Macaca fascicularis: one gene and its partners. The protein of the gene in region 1 binds, or shares a complex with, the protein of each later gene. Links are inferred from orthologs where the notes say so. Each region holds a gene or a part of one and is shown on either strand. Other genes may lie near its edges. The genes, in order: mitochondrial import inner membrane translocase subunit Tim23, TIMM17B, TIMM17A, TIMM21 and TIMM50.

The links.
Region 2: mitochondrial import inner membrane translocase subunit Tim23 (region 1) and TIMM17B share a complex: the UniProt entries of both Homo sapiens proteins name them as parts of the TIM23 complex. The link is inferred for Macaca fascicularis from reciprocal best matches to the Homo sapiens genes TIMM23 and TIMM17B.
Region 3: mitochondrial import inner membrane translocase subunit Tim23 (region 1) and TIMM17A share a complex: the UniProt entries of both Homo sapiens proteins name them as parts of the TIM23 complex. The link is inferred for Macaca fascicularis from reciprocal best matches to the Homo sapiens genes TIMM23 and TIMM17A.
Region 4: mitochondrial import inner membrane translocase subunit Tim23 (region 1) and TIMM21 share a complex: the UniProt entries of both Homo sapiens proteins name them as parts of the TIM23 complex. The link is inferred for Macaca fascicularis from reciprocal best matches to the Homo sapiens genes TIMM23 and TIMM21.
Region 5: mitochondrial import inner membrane translocase subunit Tim23 (region 1) and TIMM50 share a complex: the UniProt entries of both Homo sapiens proteins name them as parts of the TIM23 complex. The link is inferred for Macaca fascicularis from reciprocal best matches to the Homo sapiens genes TIMM23 and TIMM50.

What each region holds. Positions count from the first base shown.
Region 1 is NC_088383.1:59,153,616-59,157,126, forward strand, and holds part of mitochondrial import inner membrane translocase subunit Tim23, read left to right. Parts: intron 1-339; coding exon 340-433; intron 434-661; coding exon 662-746; intron 747-2,408; exon of another isoform or gene 2,409-2,609; intron 2,610-3,117; coding exon 3,118-3,176; intron 3,177-3,511. UniProt on the Homo sapiens protein: Essential component of the TIM23 complex, a complex that mediates the translocation of transit peptide-containing proteins across the mitochondrial inner membrane.
Region 2 is NC_088395.1:49,050,576-49,054,642, reverse strand, and holds the start of TIMM17B (mitochondrial import inner membrane translocase subunit Tim17-B), read left to right. Parts: upstream 1-1,258; 5' UTR 1,259-1,277; coding exon of another isoform or gene 1,278-1,303; 5' UTR 1,304-1,311; coding exon 1,312-1,499; intron 1,500-1,537; coding exon of another isoform or gene 1,538-1,589; exon of another isoform or gene 1,590-1,745; intron 1,746-2,175; coding exon 2,176-2,275; intron 2,276-3,968; coding exon 3,969-4,032; intron 4,033-4,067. Other genes in the region: PQBP1 (polyglutamine-binding protein 1), read right to left, coding at 462-539, 727-835. UniProt on the Homo sapiens protein: Essential component of the TIM23 complex, a complex that mediates the translocation of transit peptide-containing proteins across the mitochondrial inner membrane.
Region 3 is NC_088375.1:59,700,010-59,704,006, forward strand, and holds the start of TIMM17A (mitochondrial import inner membrane translocase subunit Tim17-A), read left to right. Parts: upstream 1-1,188; 5' UTR 1,189-1,205; coding exon 1,206-1,231; intron 1,232-2,977; coding exon 2,978-3,077; intron 3,078-3,531; coding exon 3,532-3,595; intron 3,596-3,997. UniProt on the Homo sapiens protein: Essential component of the TIM23 complex, a complex that mediates the translocation of transit peptide-containing proteins across the mitochondrial inner membrane.
Region 4 is NC_088392.1:6,591,312-6,595,281, reverse strand, and holds the start of TIMM21 (mitochondrial import inner membrane translocase subunit Tim21), read left to right. Parts: upstream 1-1,166; 5' UTR 1,167-1,446; coding exon 1,447-1,747; intron 1,748-3,970. Other genes in the region: FBXO15 (F-box only protein 15), read right to left, coding at 316-431. UniProt on the Homo sapiens protein: Participates in the translocation of transit peptide-containing proteins across the mitochondrial inner membrane.
Region 5 is NC_088393.1:46,561,467-46,565,564, reverse strand, and holds the start of TIMM50 (mitochondrial import inner membrane translocase subunit TIM50), read right to left. Parts: upstream 2,810-4,098; 5' UTR 2,794-2,809; coding exon 2,686-2,793; intron 1,757-2,685; coding exon 1,606-1,756; intron 1,067-1,605; coding exon 1,035-1,066; intron 817-1,034; coding exon 795-816; intron 1-794. UniProt on the Homo sapiens protein: Essential component of the TIM23 complex, a complex that mediates the translocation of transit peptide-containing proteins across the mitochondrial inner membrane. Has some phosphatase activity in vitro; however such activity may not be relevant in vivo.

The DNA of each region.
Region 1 (3,511 bases):
CCAGACTGCTTGTCTATTCTATTCTTCTAATAGCTTTCAGTATTCCTTTCTCTAGAGCTGTCCTTTCTAAACTTAACTTTTGCACAAATCTATCAGATTTAAGTTATGAAGGAAACAGTCTTTAATGAGACTCCCTTCTGAGAACTGTGTTTCCTATTTCATTTCACTTTGATTTAGGTATTACTGTTGCAGAAAGTTTTATTTTTATTTAAGTATAGGTTTGAGTTAATTTAAGGTTTACTCTCTGTGAAAAACTACTTTGAAATGTTAAAAAAGATGACTTTACAAGATTTGTATCTTGAGGGACCCTCAGCTTGGTTTTCATTATTATCCTTTTAGGATACAGATGAGTTTATTTTACCTACTGGAGCTAATAAAACCCGGGGCAGATTTGAGCTGGCCTTCTTTACGATCGGAGGATGTTGCATGACAGGTGAGTGTTACATACTTTTTTCTCAAGTGTGCTCAGTTCAAGTAGTTGAGGGTGCTTAAAATCAAAAGCAGTTAGAATGTTGGTTTCAGGGTTTTTTTTTAATATTTACATTTGTCTTTTTCTATTAAATGAAAAAGAATCAGAAGTGTAGCTATGCAGTTTTGAGTTTCTTTGTTTGTTTTTTAATGTAAAGCTCTCTTATCTGGGTGAATTGTTATGATTTACCAGGGGCTGCGTTTGGGGCAATGAATGGTCTTCGGCTAGGATTGAAGGAAACCCAGAACATGGCCTGGTCCAAACCAAGAAATGTACAGTAAGTCTCATGTAACCATCTGATGTAGTGATACTTGAATATTAAGCTCTGTTTTGTTGGTTTGATGAGTACACCCTTGATATTATAGATGGTTAGCATAGTTATGTGATTTTTTGTCTTTGTTTTTTAATCCTACTCAAAAGCAACTAAGGAATCGGATTACTGACTCTAAGCTTTTAAAAAGGAGTGATTTTTTGAATCCGTGTCCCTCAGTCAGCTAGTGCTATGCCAGCCTGGCTTCTCAGCTGCACCTGTCACATTCTCCAACCCTGTGTGACATGCTTTTCAAACTGTTGAATTGCCGATGGGAATTTTGCATTGTTTGGGGGCATGCGGATCCATAGGAAATGGTAATGAAGACATAAACAGCTCATGAGCGTGATGGCTCAAGCTGCCATCATTTGACTTGAACTTCTTACTGTCTTGACTTTACGTTTCCGAAATGATGAGCCAGATAAATTTTAAATAAAACTTCTAGAATTAGAGTTAATTCCAAAAGGATAAGACACAGTTTTCTGTTAGAACTTGAAGTTGCAGAAAAGGGAAAGTACAGCTAAAAGGATTGGAAAGTATGTTTTCACCCTTCTTAAGAAGTAAACATGGCCAGTCCCTCCTGATATTCCTTAAACAATATGTTTAGTTTTGCCTATTTTTATGCTTCATATATGTTTCATAAGTATGTATTATTCGATGGCTACTGTTTTTGTTTTAGGATGCTTTAAACTCCATCTTCCTTTCATATTGTTCAGCCAGCAGATGGCACCAGATGTGCTAGAACTAGACCATGGGAAACTGGAACGCCTGTTACATTGTGGGGTTTTTTGAGAGACACAGCCTTGCTGTGTTGCCCAGGCTGGCGTGCAGTGCCGCTGTCACAGCTCACTGTAGCCTTGACCTCCTGGGCTCAAGTGATCCTCCCACCTCAGCCTCCCAAGTGACTGGGACTACAGGCACGTGCCACTGTACCCAGTTAATTTTTTAATTTTTTGTAGTGACGTGGTCTCACTGTGTTGCTCAGGCTGTTCTCAAACTCCTGAACTCAGGTGATCCTCCTGCCTCAGCCTTCCAGAGTACTGGGATTATAGACGTGAGCCACTGCGCCTAGCCCTGTTTTTTATATTCCTGTTAACTGTGTGGATCTCTGTCCATGCTTTGCTAGCCTAGATCCTTCAGTATTTTTATTACTTGTCCTTTGCTTCAATAATATTTTTAACTTTTTGTATTATGGGGAATTTTGAATATATAAAAGTAGACAAAAGACATAGCATAGTGAACACATGGACCATAACCCATCCTCAACCATGGCCAGTTCTATCCCATCTCCTTCTCCTCTCCCATCTTGTTTTGAGACAAAAATCCCAATATCATATTAAATACAAATTTGGAAGTAGATCTAGAAAAGACAACTTAATTCCTTTCTTAAAACGAGTTATTAAAATGCTTGTTAAAAATGAAAAAATAATGGCTGAACCAAAAATACGTTAGTAAATATGTAACATAATTAGAAACAATGTACTTCTGTTTGTAAACTTGACTGATTTTTTAAAACAACCTTTCAGAAGCAATACAAATTTTTGTTTCTGTAGAATATTAATTAAATGAGTTGTTTAATAATTAAACTGAATGAGTTCCCTCACTCTTTGTTACTGTATTTCCATAATTTCCAGCAGTAGTCAGCCATCTGGACAGAACCATTCCTGGAATGGTGTTACACTGCTGGGAGAGGAATGTCTTCTCTTCATCCGGTTGCCTCCATCACTGTTCTGGTGGTGTCTGGCACTGGTGCAAGGCAGGACTGTGCTTCCTTGAGCGTGTGCTGAGCATTCACCTTGGCTGCTTGGTTCTAGTCTGGGAGCAGACCCAGGGTGCTTTCCCCGTGTATCCCAGTTAGATGGCTGATTCCTTCTCTTTAATTCTACTTTATATTCTGTACTTTGATATTCTTTACTTTGATTCTCTTTAACATTCTAAGCATATGTTCCCCTTCCAAAAAGAACCTTTTAGAAGCTAGCTCATCATAGTTAACAGTGGCATTTTTTACATGGATTAGTTTCTGTAAACCTCTAAAATACATTCCAGGCTGTCATTCAAAGCCTTACATATATTTAATGTGTATTCATTATATTATACATTTAATAATAAGAGTTTTCCTCAGTTATTGCCCAAAGTCTTGAAAGTTTTAACCTAATTTTCACTTATGTAGAGTAAAAACTATCCTTACTGAAATCTGAGATATTAAGATATATTTTAGAATTTAAAAAATTTTGAGCCTTGGGTCTAGAAATGTTAAATAGCTATTATTATTGTTTTTAAAGGTTACTAGAGAAATAATGATTCTAAATACAGATTCTTTCTCTTTCTGCCCTGGTAGGATTTTGAATATGGTGACTAGGCAAGGGGCACTTTGGGCTAATACTCTAGGTTCTCTGGGTAAGTAGAGATCTCGTGTGATAAATTGTTAAAGAAAGAATGTACAAATATCATGAACAATTTAATCAGCCGATATTCTGGTCCTAGGATATGAGACAATTATGTTTAAATCCATTCCATTGCATAATATAGATACTACTTAGGGAAAGACCATGAACTAACTTATGAAATAATCTCAGGTGCTGATACCATTCTGAATACCATTTCTGAATTTTTAAAATCTTTTGAACACTGCACACTCTCCTTTCCAAGCACAGCACCCAATCATGTTTAAATGAAATCCAGATAATTTAGGTCCAAAGTAAAGAGCTTGGTATATTAGGCAAGGTTCAAGG
Region 2 (4,067 bases), on another chromosome or scaffold:
AAAAATTCGCCAGGTGTGGTGAAGCACCACAGCATTTCAGCCTGGGCGACAGAGCGAGACTCTGCCTCAAAAAAAAAAAAAAAAAAAAAAAAAAAAAAAAAAAATTCGTCAGGTGTGGTGAAGCGTGCCTGTAGTCCCAACTACTCGGGAGGCTAAGGCAGGAGAATCGCTTGAACCCGGAAGGCGGAGGTCAAAGTGAGCCGAGATCGCGCCACTGCACTCCAGCCTGGGTGCAGAGTGAGACTCCGCCTCAAAAAAAAAAAAGAATGAAATATCTATTCCCCCAACCCGCTCCACTTGACACGCGGTAGAGATGGATGTCAGGAATCCATATCGTTAACAATGAAAAATGCCTGCCACCCCATTGCTTGGTGCAGTTGGCCCACGATAGTCAGTATCAACAACAAAAGTGCCTGTCGAGGCTGGCACGTGTTAGGACCATCTGCTTTTAGCCGACTCACCAGGCTCCAGATGTTTGAGGATGCCTCTCTTGGCCAAGCGGGTCTGCAGCGCAACGGGCAGAGGCATAGCTGATAGACCTAGGGGCAGACGGACAAACTGACAAGCAGCTCAGATAGATTCATATCTGGATCCCGTCACCAAGCCCCTCCCGTCAACATGTACTCATCTGACTCCCATCTACTCAAATGAACCAGTAGTTGGGTGGACAGAACATACGCACTAAAAGATGTAAGAGTTAGGTGGCAATATTATCGCAATTCTCACCAACCCTACTGTCCCGAAACCGGGTGCTCCAGGGCCCTGTTCCTCTCCCAGGCCCAGGCTCCGCCCGCCTAAGGAGCCCGGCCCCTCCGCACTTCAGAAATGGGCTCATCCAGCGTCCCCCAAAGACTGCCGGGTGGGAGAAACCAAAGCGCTGGGATGGGGGAGCAGAGGGCAGCACTTCCTCCAGCTCCAAAAGAGTACGCCCACCCCAACATTACCAATACACTCGTGCAGGTAGTGGACGGCTGTCACACCGGCCGTCTCTCTCGTGTCGCCGCTACGATACCTGGGCCCACACGACTCTCTTCCCAAAACACAGAATGAGACCTTCTCTGAATGAGGCCTTCACTCCCCGAGCCTGAAAGTAACTGGACTACGCTCAGGAGGCAATGAACAAATGGCAGAAACTCGATTGGCCAATGAGAGTGTGCCCTTGGAGTGACATGCGGCGTAGCGACCCAATCGCTGTCCGGTAATAGGCGGAAAGCTTGGACGCCGGTGTGCGTCTACGCTGGGGGCGTGGCCTGACTGCGCGGCCAGACGCCAGCGCCATGGAGGAGTACGCTCGGGAACCTTGGTACGGCGATGGGCACTGGCATCCGGACTGTTGCTGCGACGCCAAGGCCAGCCGTGGGGGTCGGGCGGGGGAGGCACCGGCCGCACAGAGCCATGTACCAGACTCGGGGGACTCTTAACGTATCTCCCGCTACCCCTACTCGGTTCCTGTCACTCGGGCTCCGTTATGAGGGGCCACAACCGTCTCCCCTCAGAAGGTGCGGCGAAGGCCGAACCACGCCATGTTTCTCCTGACCTCGTAATCTCCTAGTCCCTGTTAACGAAAAAAGACACGCTGGCCGATCCATCCTGGCTAGGGGTGGTACAGTGTTGACCGGAAATCCCGAGTTGCCGCGGGTGGTTTTTCCCAGGTCGCCTTTGTCAGTGGGGGCGGGGTACGGATGAACCTGCTGAGGGCCGGCGGGGACGGTGGATGCTTCCCGCGGTCGCTCTTGGTTTTTCCCAGTTGCGCCGGATTGAAAAGGGGCGGGGCATGGTTGGACGGGCACACCGTCGGAGAAGGGGTGCCACGCGGTCCTGCTTTGCTGACAATCTGTCTTGGCTAGTTAACACGCCTACGTCGCTTATTGAAACGTCAACTCTGCGTGTGCCAATTCATTTAATCTTTGATCACAGTAAAACAGTTGGCTGATTCCTTGGTTGATAGACAGGGCGAAGACTAATATTTCTCCCCCTTTGCCCCATTTCTCGCTTTAATGGTGGGGAGCTGTGGAAAAAGCGTGACAGGATTAGCTCCTTATTATCTGAAGTGTTTGTTTCTCCTTAGGAACTTCCCATTCTGGTGACTTGGTTTCTCCCAATTAGAAAAGAGTTCGTGTGACAGGGCCTGGGGGAGGGCTCACATTAACCCCATCCTTCCCTTCCTGCTTGCAGCCCATGGCGAATTGTGGATGATTGCGGTGGAGCCTTCACTATGGGTGTCATCGGTGGCGGAGTCTTCCAGGCCATCAAGGGTTTCCGCAATGCCCCTGTTGTGAGTCCAGACCTTCTCTGGGTTGATGTGGGGTCAGCTGTCTTGCCCACAAGGGATGCTGCTCCGAAAACTGCTTGGAGCTGCCAGTCACGTGCACTTATTCATTCTGGTGGCCACTCACCTACTGTGTGCCAAGCCTGGCTTCTGTATCTGGGATTTTGTAGGGATTTGCAAACATGGCTTCTGTCTTCCACCCTCCACCCCACCCAAATGGAGCTCCTCTGTGGAAATGCTGTGTCGTTCAAAGAGTCATCACCAAATCTTAAATATATGTGCAAAGCCAGACAGATTTTTTTTTTTTTTTTTTTGAGACAGAGTCTTGCTCTGTTGCCCAGGCTAGAGTGCAGTGGCATGATCTTGGCTCCCTGCAACCTCTGCCTCCCGGGTTCAGGCGATTCTCCTGTCTCAGCCTCCTGAGTAGCTGGGACTACAGGCAAGTACCACTAGACCTGGCGAATTTTTGTACTTTTAGTAGAGTTGGGGTTTCACTATGGTGGCCAGTCTGGTCTCGAACTCTGGACCTCAGTTGATCCACCTACCTCGGCCTCCCAAAGTGCTGGGATTACAGGCGTGTGCCACCATGCCTGGCCAATGTTTTTTGTTTTGTTTTGTTTTGTTTTTTGTGGTTTTTTTTGAGACATCATCTTGCCCTGTTGCCCAGGCTGGTGTGCAGTAGCCTAATCAGGGGTCACTACAGCCTCTGCCTCCCAGGCTCAAGTGATCCTCCCAACTCAGCCTCCCAAGTAGCTAGGACCACATGACTGCGCCACCATGCCTGGCTAACTATTTGTTTATTTATTTATTTATTTGTAGAGACTGGGTTTCAACATGTTGCTTAGGCTGGTCTCTAATTCCTGAACTCAAGTGATCCACCCACCTCAGCCTCCCAAAGTGCTGGGATTACAGGTGTGAGCCACTGCACCAGGACCAGACACATTTTACCTAGAGGCAGATTCTGACTCAGAAACCTGTATAGAGGAAAATGGCAGGAATTTAATTGGCAGAGGGAAGACAGCCTTAAAGTTGAGAGAATTTTTTTAACATAGTTCTTTTTCTCTGACCACCTCCCCTCCCAGAAGATCGCAAATGCCGTGACTTTAAATGCCATCTATTAGCCAAAGTCTCTGCAATTTATATATGTAGCCCCGTCCCTCCCCTAGACTCCTGGAACTCTCCTCCCTGGATCTTTGCCCAAGTTTGTCATCATCAAGGTCTCAGCACAGATTCTCTCTCCTTCAAGAGGCCTTTCCTGACCCCTCAGCCCCAATCATATTTCTTCATGGCATTTCCTCTAGAGTGCAGATTGCTGAAGCGCCCTTGTTTACTTATCCTTGCTCAAGGTCTGTGTCTCCCACTGTTAATGTGAGCTCTGAGAGGGCAGGGAGCAGATCTACCTTGTTCATGGCTGTATCTCTGCATATGGCATGGTGCTTGGCACATATAGTAGGTACTTGTTAATCATTCACTGAATGAATGAATGAACAAACGTATGAATGCATTAGCACTTCTCAACCCACCTCTGAGAACACCCATGTTGGGGCGCTCTCCAGGACCCTAGTTCTTGGCCACTTTTCCACATTTCTACTGCTGATACCTCTAACAGGTCTCCCATCTTTTTCCCTCTCTTAAAAGTTGGAAACCTGTCTGCCAGTGGCTTCAGCCCTGCCCTGACGGACTTCCTTCCTTTCCCCAGGGAATTCGGCACCGGTTGAGAGGTAGTACCAACGCTGTGAGGATCCGAGCCCCCCAGATTGGAGGTGAGGGACTTGGGGAGATAGATATAGGAGATGTC
Region 3 (3,997 bases), on another chromosome or scaffold:
GGCTCAAGCCATCTTCCCGCCTCGGTTTCCTGAATAGCTAGGGCTACAAGTGCGTGCCACTATGCCTGGCCTGGTCCCCATAAGTCCCCTCTTCTCCGAGCCAAACATCTTCACACCTTCCGGTGATCATTAGTGGAGAGGCCTGTGAGAGGTCAATGTCCCTGAAATCGAGGGCTCCAAATTGGTCATGGCTTTCTTCAGATGGCCCAAACAGCTTGTTTCATTTCACAAACATTTATTGAGCATCTACTACATTCCAGGCACTGTGGTTATTATAAATCACTGAGACATTGTTTGCCCTAAAGGAGCTACGTGTATTTAATAACAGCTTCACAATATGTGACGAATAAGATAGCACTAATCCACATTTGACAGCAAAAGTACCAAAAAAGAAAGAAAGAAAAAGAAGAGAGAGAAAGAAAAGAAAAGAGGTGAAAGAGGGCGGATGCGGTGGTGTAATCCTAGCACTCTGGGAGGCCGAGGTGGGCGGATCACGAGGTCAGCAGTTCGATCCAGCCTGATCAACATGGCGAAACCCCGTTTCTACTAAAAATATACAAAATTTAGCGGGACCTGGGGGCGCGCGCCTGTAATCCCAGCTACTCAGGAGGTTGAGGCAGGAGAATCGCTTGAACCCGGGAGGCGGAGGTTGCAGTGAGCGGATATCGCGCCGCTGCACTCCAGCCTGGGCGATAGAGCCAGACTCCGTCTCAAAAAGAAAAAGAAAAAGAAAAAGAAAAAGAAAAGGAAAAAGAAAAAGGAAGAAAGGAAAGAAGGAAGGGAGGGAGGGAGGCAGGGAGGGAGGCAAGGCGCGAAGGAGAGAAGAAAAGGAAAGGGAAGGGAAGGGAAGGCGGAAGGGAAGGCGGAAGGGAAGGGAAGGAAAGAAGCGTATTTAGGAAGTATCGCGTTGATGTCAGGCCACGGAACCTCTGGTGACCGGGTAGTGTAACTCCGTCATTGGTAGCTCCCCGCCCACACAGCCGGGACCCGCGGCCTTCGAGGACATGGACTGTGCCAGTCTTGCCCCGTCGCGGCCAATGCCCCAACCACACGCAGTCCACAGGAGTCCTGGGTCCCATTGGCTGCAGCGGGAAACGGTGAACCAATCCTCATAGGCCTTAACGCCCTCCTCTCGGGGTCACTTCCGCCTCTGGGGTCAGGCTCCGCCCAGCTTGCCCGGCATCACTCGCGGCGTTGGAGTCAACATGGAGGAGTACGCGCGAGAGCCTTGGTGAGCCTCACCGCTGTCTTTGCATTTCTCTTGCCCGCCTGCCCACTGCCCTCCTTCTCCCCTGTCCATGCTCCCAAGGTGCAAGCCAGACTCAACCGCAGCCTTGTCGACTTGGGCCTGGTAACTGTGGGCAATGCAGTCTTTCACGGCCAGTCGGCTTAGCCCTGTACCCACTACCTTCCCGGCCTCGTGAGCCTCGCTCTCCCAACCCAGCACCCGTGTGATCCTGTGGTGGATGGTAGAGAGGTCCAGACTTGAGTTTGATAGAACCTCGGAACCTCCTCCCAACGCAGGGCATAATCGACCTTATGCGGGGCCAGTTATAATCCCCTCTGTTCGCCGAGGTGACCTTGGGCGCGTCCCTCCGTCTCGCCTTGCTCAGTTCCTGCGTTGAGGAACTGAAGAACAAGCATTTGAGGGAGTGTCATTCTTGAGGTTTTACTTGTATCATGATAGGTGTCCGCAGAGCGAAGCATTTTAAGTGAATGGAACATAGATTTTAGCCAAGGGGTCTGGATAAGCTGCTTTAGACAGTGGGGGCATGTTTTTTTCTCCTTGGAATCCTTTCTTGTGGGTAGAGGGGGACAAAAATTACCTGGGAAATAGGAAGAGGTAATAGCATGTGTTCTCCGAAAAGCCATGGACAGAAATTCATTCTTTCATCCAGCGTTTATTGAATGTGAATAAACCAGACACATAGATAATTATAAAACGATGTAATTGCTGTCAGAAGTCTCAGGTTGCGAGAGTTTAAAGTTTCTGGGGTCATAAGTAAAAAATCAAATCTTGATATTTCGATTAATCATTTGTTTTATTGTGTGAGAGCAGCAACCAAGATGTCCTCAATTTGTGAAAGTGCCCAGGACCTTGAGTTATTACTCTGTTATCCTAGCCTTGAATTATTACTCTGCTTTCCTAGCCTTGTTGCCTGTTTCGTGTTCCCTTCTCTCCTAAATGGCATACAAAATGTAAGTTTTAGGGTCTCCTGGCTCTTCAAACTTATCTTCTTCAAAGCAGTTATCCTCCATTCTGGATTGTGCTCAGATATGTAGGACTCAGCACACTGTAAATAGCTGTTTGATGTAGTATAATGACACAGGTTAGCAGAGGATTAAAATATTTAACTATGTTGAGTTAGAGATCTTAGAAAAATAAGGCCAGGCGTGGTGGATTACACCTGTAATCCCAGCACTTTGGAAGGCCGAGGTGGATCACGAGGTCAGGAGTTTGAGACCAGCCTGGCCTATATGGTGAAACCCCGTCTGTACTAAAAATACAATTATTTGCCGGGCGTCGTGGCGCACACCTGTAGTCCCAGCTACTCGGGAGGCTGAGGCAGGAGAATCGCTTGAACCCGGGAGACAGGTTTCAGTGAGCCAAGATCGCGCTATTGCACTGCAGCCTGGGTGATAGAGTGAGACTCCATCTCAAAAAAAAAAAAAAATTCTTAGAAAAATACTGGGTTTTCATTTAGTAAATCGTTAGGTAACCCCTTAACATTCAGTACGTATGTCCTGAAACAATATAATCAGTTACCTGGTTAGCTTTGTAGTCAAAACTGCTTTGATTTTTTGACTGCCCTGTTTGGTCATAGCACTTCCTCAAGTCATTTTATAGGCCAAATATTTATTGGTTGCAGTGGGTCCTGCAATATAATCTGTTCCATTATAATCCTTACTGTATTAGCAAAGATTTTATGGTTTGTGAATGAGAAATGTGGTCTTTTTTTTCCCCCTCTGTTCTTAGCCCATGGCGAATTGTGGATGACTGTGGTGGGGCCTTTACGATGGGTACCATTGGTGGTGGTATCTTTCAGGCAATCAAAGGTTTTCGCAATTCTCCAGTGGTAAGTGGGTGAATGGTCTTATTTTATCATCACTTGAAGTGTGGGTTTGATATTACTGGTGGTCCCATCAGTGGCTTAGAAATGTACTTCTAGGCCGGGCGCGGTGGCTCAAGCCTGTAATCCCAGCACTTTGGGAGGCCGAGACGGGTGGATCACGAGGTCAGGAGATCGAGACCATCCTGGCTAACACAGTGAAACCCCGTCTCTACTAAAAAATACAAAAAAACTAGCCGGGCGAGGTGGCGGGCGCCTGTAGTCCCAGCTACTCAGGAGGCTGAGGCAGGAGAATGGCCTGAACCCGGGAGGCGGAGCTTGCAGTGAGCTGAGATCCGGCCACTGCACTCCAGCAAGGGGGACAGAGTGAGACTCCGTCTCAAAAAAAAAAAAAAAAAAAAAAAAAAAAAAGAAATGTACTTCTAATATATTTTTTGTTGCTTCTTTTTTTTTGTTATAGGGAGTAAACCACAGACTACGAGGGAGTTTGACAGCTATTAAAACCAGGGCTCCACAGTTAGGAGGTGAGCAGAATTTTCATTTTAAGTGAACTGTTTTTTTCTGTTTATTTGAAGATGGAGCTATTTTTATTTTTAGATTATAACAATTAATGATTTTAGTTTGGTCTAACAGTTTGTCACAAACATATATCCCTATAGTTTCTTCTTGATTTTTAGTTTGTTTGAAAAATTAACCTGAATTATGATAGCCATTTGAAAATCTTGTCTCCATCCTTCAGATACTCTGTGATTTTTTTTCACCCTTCTCCAGAAGAAAGTGTGTTTAAAGCTCAGGTTTGAGGCTGGGCATGGGTCGTAATCCCAGCACTTTGGGAGGCCAAGGTAGGCAGATCACCTGAGGTCGGGAGTTCGAGACCAGCTTGACCAACATGGAGAAACCCCATCTCTACTAAAAATACAAAATTA
Region 4 (3,970 bases), on another chromosome or scaffold:
AATCTATGGCACGCACCCCGGAGAAGCACCTCTTGGACCGGCAGCTGTCGTGGCAAGTGAGCGTAACCCCGACCACAGGCGCCGCGAGAAAAAATATTTCCCCGAGAGGCTACTCTACTTGTGTTATAACTTAGGGAACCCCACATTGCAGGGTAGAAAGGATTTCCTCCGGTCGTTCTTCCAGACCCTTCTCACGTTGAAGAGGGCCGCGGGCGTTGTGCCAAGCTGGACGAATAAAATACACGGTGGAGAGAGTGGGGCCGCGCAGTGAGGGGCTTCCCGCCAGCGGACCCCACCCGCAGGCCCTACAGTCACCTGAACCCAAAGGTCCTGGCGCGCCCCCGGGCCGCGCCACCTCCCCTGCTGGGCCCGCGCAGCGTCTGGAGGCCGAGCCAGTGCTGCTGCAAGATCCGACCGCGTCCAGTCGCCATGGAGACGAGTTCACCATAGACCCGCTCAAGGGCGGAAACTAGGAGGGCACGCACCGCCCCCACGCCCGCGCGTCGCCACACCCCCTTACGCCCATGCGCAAGTTCACAAAAGTACCGCTGGCCTGGCGCGTGCGCAGACGGCACCGCGCCAGACAGCCGCTCGCAAAGCGGGCTTCTAGAAACTTCCGGGCCCCAGCTTCTTTCCCCACCCCTACATTCTGCCACCAAGGGCGCTAAGCAAGTCCTCGGCTTAACCATTTAGGAAACCGGTGCCTGCTTTGCAGCGGCCTCGTTCATCTCCACTTGCTGACTCTTTTTTGTCCGGCTTTTCTGAAAACACAGTGAAATGCAAAAACGAAATCATTTGCCCACGCGGAATAGAGAAGACCACAGTCAGAGGGAGTACTTCCCACTGTGCACAGTCCACTCTAGAAGGATAAGGAAAACACGTAGTGTGTAACTGCTAATTTGGCTTTTGCAAGTCCCGCTTGAATTACGTAGGGTCTGTGGTACCAATTACCCCACCAACTCCCCGCCTTCCCGCCTCTCCAAGGACGCGCAGCGTCTGCGCAGGCGCTGGGCACGGAAGCGCCTGGGGGCGCGGGAACGGCCTGCGCCGTGCTCTGGCCGCCTTGAATTGTGGGAGATGTAGTCTCTTGTGCGCGCCCCATTGCCGCATCCCAGTTAAGAGCGAGGTCTTCAAACTACTATTCCCAGGAAGACGGGGGGTTTCCCAGGTGACTTTGCGAAGACATGGCGGGGACACTGTGAATGTCAGCCCAGAAGGTAATCAGAGCGTGTTGATTCAAAGAAAACAGAAGGGAAGGTAGACAGCAGGTTCTCCCTGGAGATTTTTCGTTTTCATTTACGCTGCTGAAGCCAACGTTTTTGCCTAACACGCCATGTAATGTAAACGTATAGGTTTGAGTACGTGTCCGGCCAGATGTGTAGTGAACCCGAAAACTTTCCTAATTGTAGTTAGCATCGTCCCTAAGCGGAACGATTTTCTGTGAACATGATTTGTACTTTTCTACGAGCCATACAGTATACGGAGAAGCTGCACAGGTCCTCGGCAAAGCGATTGCTTTTGCCCCACATTGTGCTTAACAAAGCGTGCTTGAAGACTGAGCCCAGTTTGAGATGGGGGCTTCAATATCAAAAGAAAACAGTGCGACCTAGATGTATTCTTGGAGTCACTCAGAAAACCATCTGGACGCAGGGACCGAGCCCCCGGAAAGCAAAGGAGGGTAGCAGCAAACAAGTGTCTGTACACAGGAGTCAAAGAGAGGGAACCGCCGTCCCAACATCACAAAAAGGTAAAAAGGAGTACTTCAATGATTGGTCTTTCAACAGACGTGACAAGAGCTGCCAATGCTCTTTTACACCAAGTTCACTACTAAAGGTGAAAAAGCAATTAACATGAATTTTTAAAAGCCGTTTAAACATAATTTAGAGCTAGAACATATAGACCTACAGTTTTCTTCACAGATTGGAACTCAGATTTGAAAGTTGATCTTGAATTTGATATAACTTTCTTTCGTTATGTTTGGGAAATTTTTCTCAAGTTGTATTGGCTCTGTTACATATAATAAAGAGTAATTGGATAGGATAAAAAGAGAGAGAGAGCTTATTGACTCATAATCAATAGGGAAAACTTTCGTATGTTACCTGCAATAATAGAAAAACATAAACTAGGGAGGATGGAATGTAATTTGTCAGGGAAAGTCAGAGATATGTTCACAGATATTTTAAGATTTTTTTTTAATTTCTTCATTTCGCATGTGATTTGTAGGAAAAAAAGGACAAAGCAATTTAGACCCCATGATTATACCACACAAAGATGACTATTTTTAACATTTTGCACTTTCATACACATACCTTTTAATAATTTTTAACCCAAAAAATTGAATCATATTCTACCAATTGTTTTGTAATCTGCTGAATATGCCAAAAACCTAGTTTTTCATTTGTAATAGTTCAGCACGAAGGAACAATCCGTATGCAGAGGTGAAAGGCATAGAAGTGGCAAACAGCATGTGTGTCAGGTAATCTGGCTCAGGCAACAGTGCTGCTGCTTGCACTGCATGCCAGGCCTGCTTAGGGACCCCTTCCCTGATCTGCACCCCATTCAGAGGTGACAGTCCTTGTTGCTGAATGAATGGATGGGAGCAACATTCCCAAATATGGAATATGCTGTGTCCAGAATTCAAAGAAACATTGTGGTAGTAGGTATAGGGTACAATTGTCTTTTACTTGGGAGGGCATGTCCTGGCACACCCCAGTGTAGCCCCATGAGGTCAGCTCATGTGTTGGTGAGCCTCTGCATCTTTGTTGGGCCCACCTCTCACACTTGCAGCTTGTCTGACCAAGCCTTCTAACACACTTGCCACTTGTTACTTCTGGGCTCTAACACGATAGTGTAAACATAGTAGACAAATGTGATATTCTGCTGAATGTCCAGAACAGCATTATTCAAATAAAACTTTCTGCAGTCATAGAAATGTCCTATATTTATGGTGTCCATTTGGGTAGTTCCTGGCCACTTGTAGCTATTTTGAGCACTTGAAATGTTGCTAAATTATGTTACTGAAGAACTGAATTTTAATTAATTTAAAATTGAACTGAAATACCCATGAGTGGTGAGTGGCTACTGTATTAGACAGCCCAGATCCAGAAAGTTTCACTCCCTTAAGACTGTAACAACAGAGGGTGAGAGAATTAGCAAATCCTGGTCAGGATCATAAACATACACTGTTATTATCTGTTTCATGTTACTACACACTACTCCTGCTGCTGCTTCTGAATAGAAGGCATTCTTCAAATCAATGGCCAATACCATGAGATTGTGTTAATGCACTGCCGTGTAAAGTTACCATGTGTGGTATTGCATGTGTACCCCGGCTGCCACTTGGTTAAGTTTGCAGTTAACCACTGTCATTCTCCAGCGCCTATTTGTGTTTTGTAAAGGAAGACTGGTAAATTACAAGGGACTGTGATAGGGGCCACCATGCCTGTATCTAAGGTCTCTAAGAATTGCACTCTTTCTGCCATTCCCCATGGATGTGATACCATTTTTAATTTATTACCTTGGTCACTGGGGCAGTTTCAGAGGCTTCCATTTGACTTTTCCCACTCTGATAGCTCTTAACCCACTTCCAAAGGAACTAAAGTGGGAGTTATTGTTGCCAATTACTCAGTACATCCCCTTGATTTATACATTTGGAAATCAAGGAAATTATTACCAGATAAGTCCCTGGACCCAGCTGTGAGCTTCTTACATGCTGTCGGGGGGGTGGGGGGTGGTCGGGGGGTCATCATGACTCTTTGGGTCCTTGGATATCACTGTCAGCACAGACTATGTCCAAGTTGATAACTATAGGTCCTTTTGGTGAAGGACCGGGGTAGTCAGTCACATACACTTTCCTTCAGTAAATGGGTTCCAGGTCTGAAAACTGGTTCAGGTCCAGAAACCGGGGCAATGTTCAGAGCTTTGCATTAGAGCAACTGCCTTCAGCCTCAGGAGTCATCTGAGGTTAATT
Region 5 (4,098 bases), on another chromosome or scaffold:
AAATTGCACTACTGCACTCCAGCCTGGGCAACAGAGCAAGACTATGTCTCAAAAAAATAAAAAATAAAAACAAAAAAACACAATATTGAAACCAGTTAGGCTAGTAAACATATACACTTTAAAACTTCAGATTTACCTGCCCAATTTAATTCAGCATATTATTTGTGGAAGACAGCATGATTCTACAACTGCCCGGTTAAAATGGCACTCACCCACCTGCCCAGTTTGAAACAATCAATGTATTAACATGACTGTTTGCAAACGTCCCCCAACATAAACAGGTGGCTTTCTGGACCCACCAATTTCATTCTTCTCCTGGGAAGAGCCAGGTATGACACGATTGACAACTAATCTCTACTATCCAATTTGTCATAAACTTCACCACCAAAAGCTGGTTAACCAGATGGAGAGGGAGGAAGGAGGCGTTGTTTTGAAAATGAGCCTAATGGGGTAGGGGCTTGAGGGGGATGGGGAAGGAGTTGGGAGCTGCAGATGCTTGGTCGAAGACACAGGAACCCATGTGTCTGGAGATAGGCCACGCTGTGTCCCCAAGCCCTCCCACCCAAGGCTCCCCTCCCCCATCTGTCTCTGACCATCTGCTCGGGGCTGAGGGGCCAGGGAAGCGGGCTTGGGCTTTGTAATGTCCCTCCCCACAACGCCATCCAGCTGCTGGCTCCCCCACCTCCCCAGTGGAAGGAGGAGGGGCCGGAGACACCAGATGGGGAGAGAGACATCCTTACAAATGACAGAGTTGAGAGGGTCAGGGACTCCAGAATCTGTGCTTGTTCACTCACCATTGTCAAACTCATCAGGAATCTGGGAGGTGGAGAGAAAAATGGAAGGTTTAGGATGTCAGAGGCAGAACCCCATCACATACAGAAAAGGAATCTCCAGGACCCCAACAGGAATAGGCAAAGGTCACTGGGAAAGACAGGCTCACTCCAGACAAGCAATGTGCCTAAACAGACCAAAGAGGACCCCTCTCACCCACAGGCTAGGACTCCTGGCAAGGCCTCGGTCTCTTTCCCCCTCACCTTGGCACCATTTTCGTCCACTGAGTTGTTTCCTGCAAGGGAGACCAGGATGAATATGAGGAATTAGGGCCCAGTCCCCTGGGTCCTGAGGGAGGAGTGGGATAAAGGGCCTGGACTCCTGGATCTGAGGAAAGAGAGTTAGAGGCACAGCCTCCTGGATTCAAGCCAGGAGGGGGCTGGGAGCCAAGATTCCTGGGTCTTTGAGAGAAAGGGGGCTGGGGCTGGGACTCTTGGGTCTGTGGGATAAAGGAACTAGTGGAAGGCTGGATTTTTGGGTGCTGAGTAAAGACAAAGTTTAGGAAGCTGATTCAGGCCTATCCTTCCCCATCTTTCCCTCTTTCCTGTATTCTGGTACAGGAACCAACTAGAAAGACTAGAACCTTAAGGAGCAGAAGGGAGAAGAAAGAAGACTTCCCTGGTTTTCAAGGTAGGTGTCCTATTTGGCTGCCCTATTGAGGAAGGAGCCAGGGAATGAAGATGAGACACGTTGGTAGGGGGTAAGAGTGGGAGATTTCACAGTGGACTAGGGAGGCCAAGGAACAAAACTGGAAGGCAGGGATATGTCCCTCACCAAAGATATAGACGACGCTCACGGTCCCACCAGCTCCAAGCAGCCCAGCAAGCCAGAGCGCAACTTTTTTGGCATAGCTGGGACCCTCTGAACCCGGCTGCTGCTGTGGCCCTTGTGCCTTAGTGCCCCCGCGGCTCCCGATCTCTGCGGCCTGCGATTGAGAAAGGGGAGGTCAGCTAAGAGAGAAGAGAGGTCAGGATGGTTCCAACCTTCCAGTACAAGAAGAATCAAGTTCGGGAGCCAAGAGGCAGACACCCACAGAGCCCTGGACATCTGTGTCCCTGGAGGCGCAGTCAGGAAGTGGGGCGCTCAGAGGGTCAAAAGCAGACTGTCCCGCACCAGGATGCCAGGAGTTTTAAGAGCTAACAGGCCAGGTGCACAGGATCCTGAAGGCAACAGGACTGGAGGGTCTGCAGTCCAGAAAAGCAGAGCACGGAGAATAAGGGATGGGAGGGCCTAAACACTGGGATGAGAGGAAACGGAGGTCACAAGTGGTGGGGGAAGGGGGACAGACAGGACGGGGAGTTACGACATCCGGCTGCTTGGGGCTAAAGGTAGCAGAGTTACAGGGTAAGGGATGGGAGCGGAGGCGGGGAGGGGCAATCACTTGTCTGGGGCTTGGGGAACTCGGGTACAGAAGTGATAGAGTTGGAGGTCAGAATGGCTGGGTCTCTGTCAACATGGAGGCAGGTCGAATTGGAAACCCAAACGTCTACCTCATCACCACCAACGCCACAGAGAAAATAACTCCCACGGCCAGACTGGGACTCCAGCATACCAGGCCCCTCCTGCTCAAGTATCACCTGAGTGGTCACTGAGATGGGGAACCGGTAACCTTCTCCTCCTCCGGCACCCACGTGGGTGGGAGGTGGGGTCTAGAGGACACATCTGGGTTCCCAGCCTCCAGCCTAGGGGAGCAAGTGTTGTCCACCCAGGAGGCTGGGAAGGGCCCCAAAACGCAAGCGGCGTTTCATTCAGCACCCTGAGGTGAGGCGTCCCGGAACCCCCAAGGGGCGGCGATATGTCCGGAACTCCAGGGAAGGGACCCCACATTCAGAGTGCCACCCTCGTTCCGCTCACCTGATCTGGGGCCCGGGGGGGCGGCGTCGCCAACCTCGTGCACAGTCCCCGCGAGCCGAGCCGGAGCCCGCTCCGCAAGCGCGAGCACAGCGCTGCCGAGGCCGCCATCTTGCGCTGACGCCACGCGGCCCCGCCCACTCGCTCCCTTTTCACCCGCCCCGGGCCGGAGCTACAGCCAATGGAAGCGCGGAGGCGGGGCGGGTGGACGGAAGCCCGAGAGAGACCAAAGTCATCGGGCGGATTGCTGCAGGCGCGCTTGCCTCTTACCATTCTCCTGGCTGCCTCTGGGGGGGCGCCAACTGGGATCCAAAGTCATCTGGACCACGCCCCGCTTGGGCCTTGCAGAGCGCCACCGCCCCTGCAAAGGACGCAGCGAGGGAAGGGATCACACTCATTGCCCAGAGGTAAAGCTGAGGCCATAATGGAGTCAGTGGCTGCCTGATTTGTCCAAAAAAATAGTCACGAGTCAGGTCGCTTGTCTCACTGTGTAAGGGCATCGGCCCTCACCTCCCAATTGTCAGAAATATACATTGAGGCCCTGAAAGCGACCTGAAAAGCCAGTCCTCGAAAACTCTTTTGGCCAGGCACGGTGGCTCACACCTGTAATCCCTGCGCTTTGGGAGGCCGAGGCAGGAGGATCGCTTGAGGCCGGGAGTTTGAGACCACCCTGGATAACATAGCAAGACTGCCATCTCTATTTTTAAAATTAATAATAATAGGCCAGGCGCGGTGGCTCACGCCTATAATCTCAGGACTTTGGGAGGCTGAGGCAGGCAGATCACCTGAGGTCAGGAGTTTGAGACCAGCCTGGCCAATAAGGCAAAACCCCCTCTCTACTAAAAAAAAAAAAAAAAAAAAAAAAAAAAAAAAAAATTAGTCAGGCATGATGGTGCACGCCTGTAGTCCCACCTGCTGGGGAGGCTGAGGCAGGATAATCGCTTGAACCCGGGAGGCGGAGGTTGCAGTGAGCCTAGATGGTGCCACTGCACTCCAGCCTGGGAGACAGAGGGAGACTCCGTCTCAAAAAAATAAAAATTAATAATAAAACTCTTCCTCACATGGAGCTGGGAGGAGGAATCTGTTTTCTCTCCCATTCCTTCCTTTTTTTTTTTTTTTTGAGACAGAGTCTTGCTCTGTCACCAGGGCTGGAGTGCAGTGGCGCGATCTCGGCTCACTGCAAGCTCCGCCTCCAGGGTTCATGCCATTCTCCTGCTTCAGCCTCCCGAGTAGCTGGGACTACAGGTGCCCGCCACTATGCCCTACTACTTTTTTTGTATTTTTAGTAGAGACCGGGTTTCACTGTGTTAGCCAGGATGGTCTCGATCTCCTGACCTTGTGATCCGCCCGCCTCGGCCTCCCAAAGTGCTGGGATTACAGGCGTGAGCCACCGCGCCCGGCCCCTTCCTACCATGA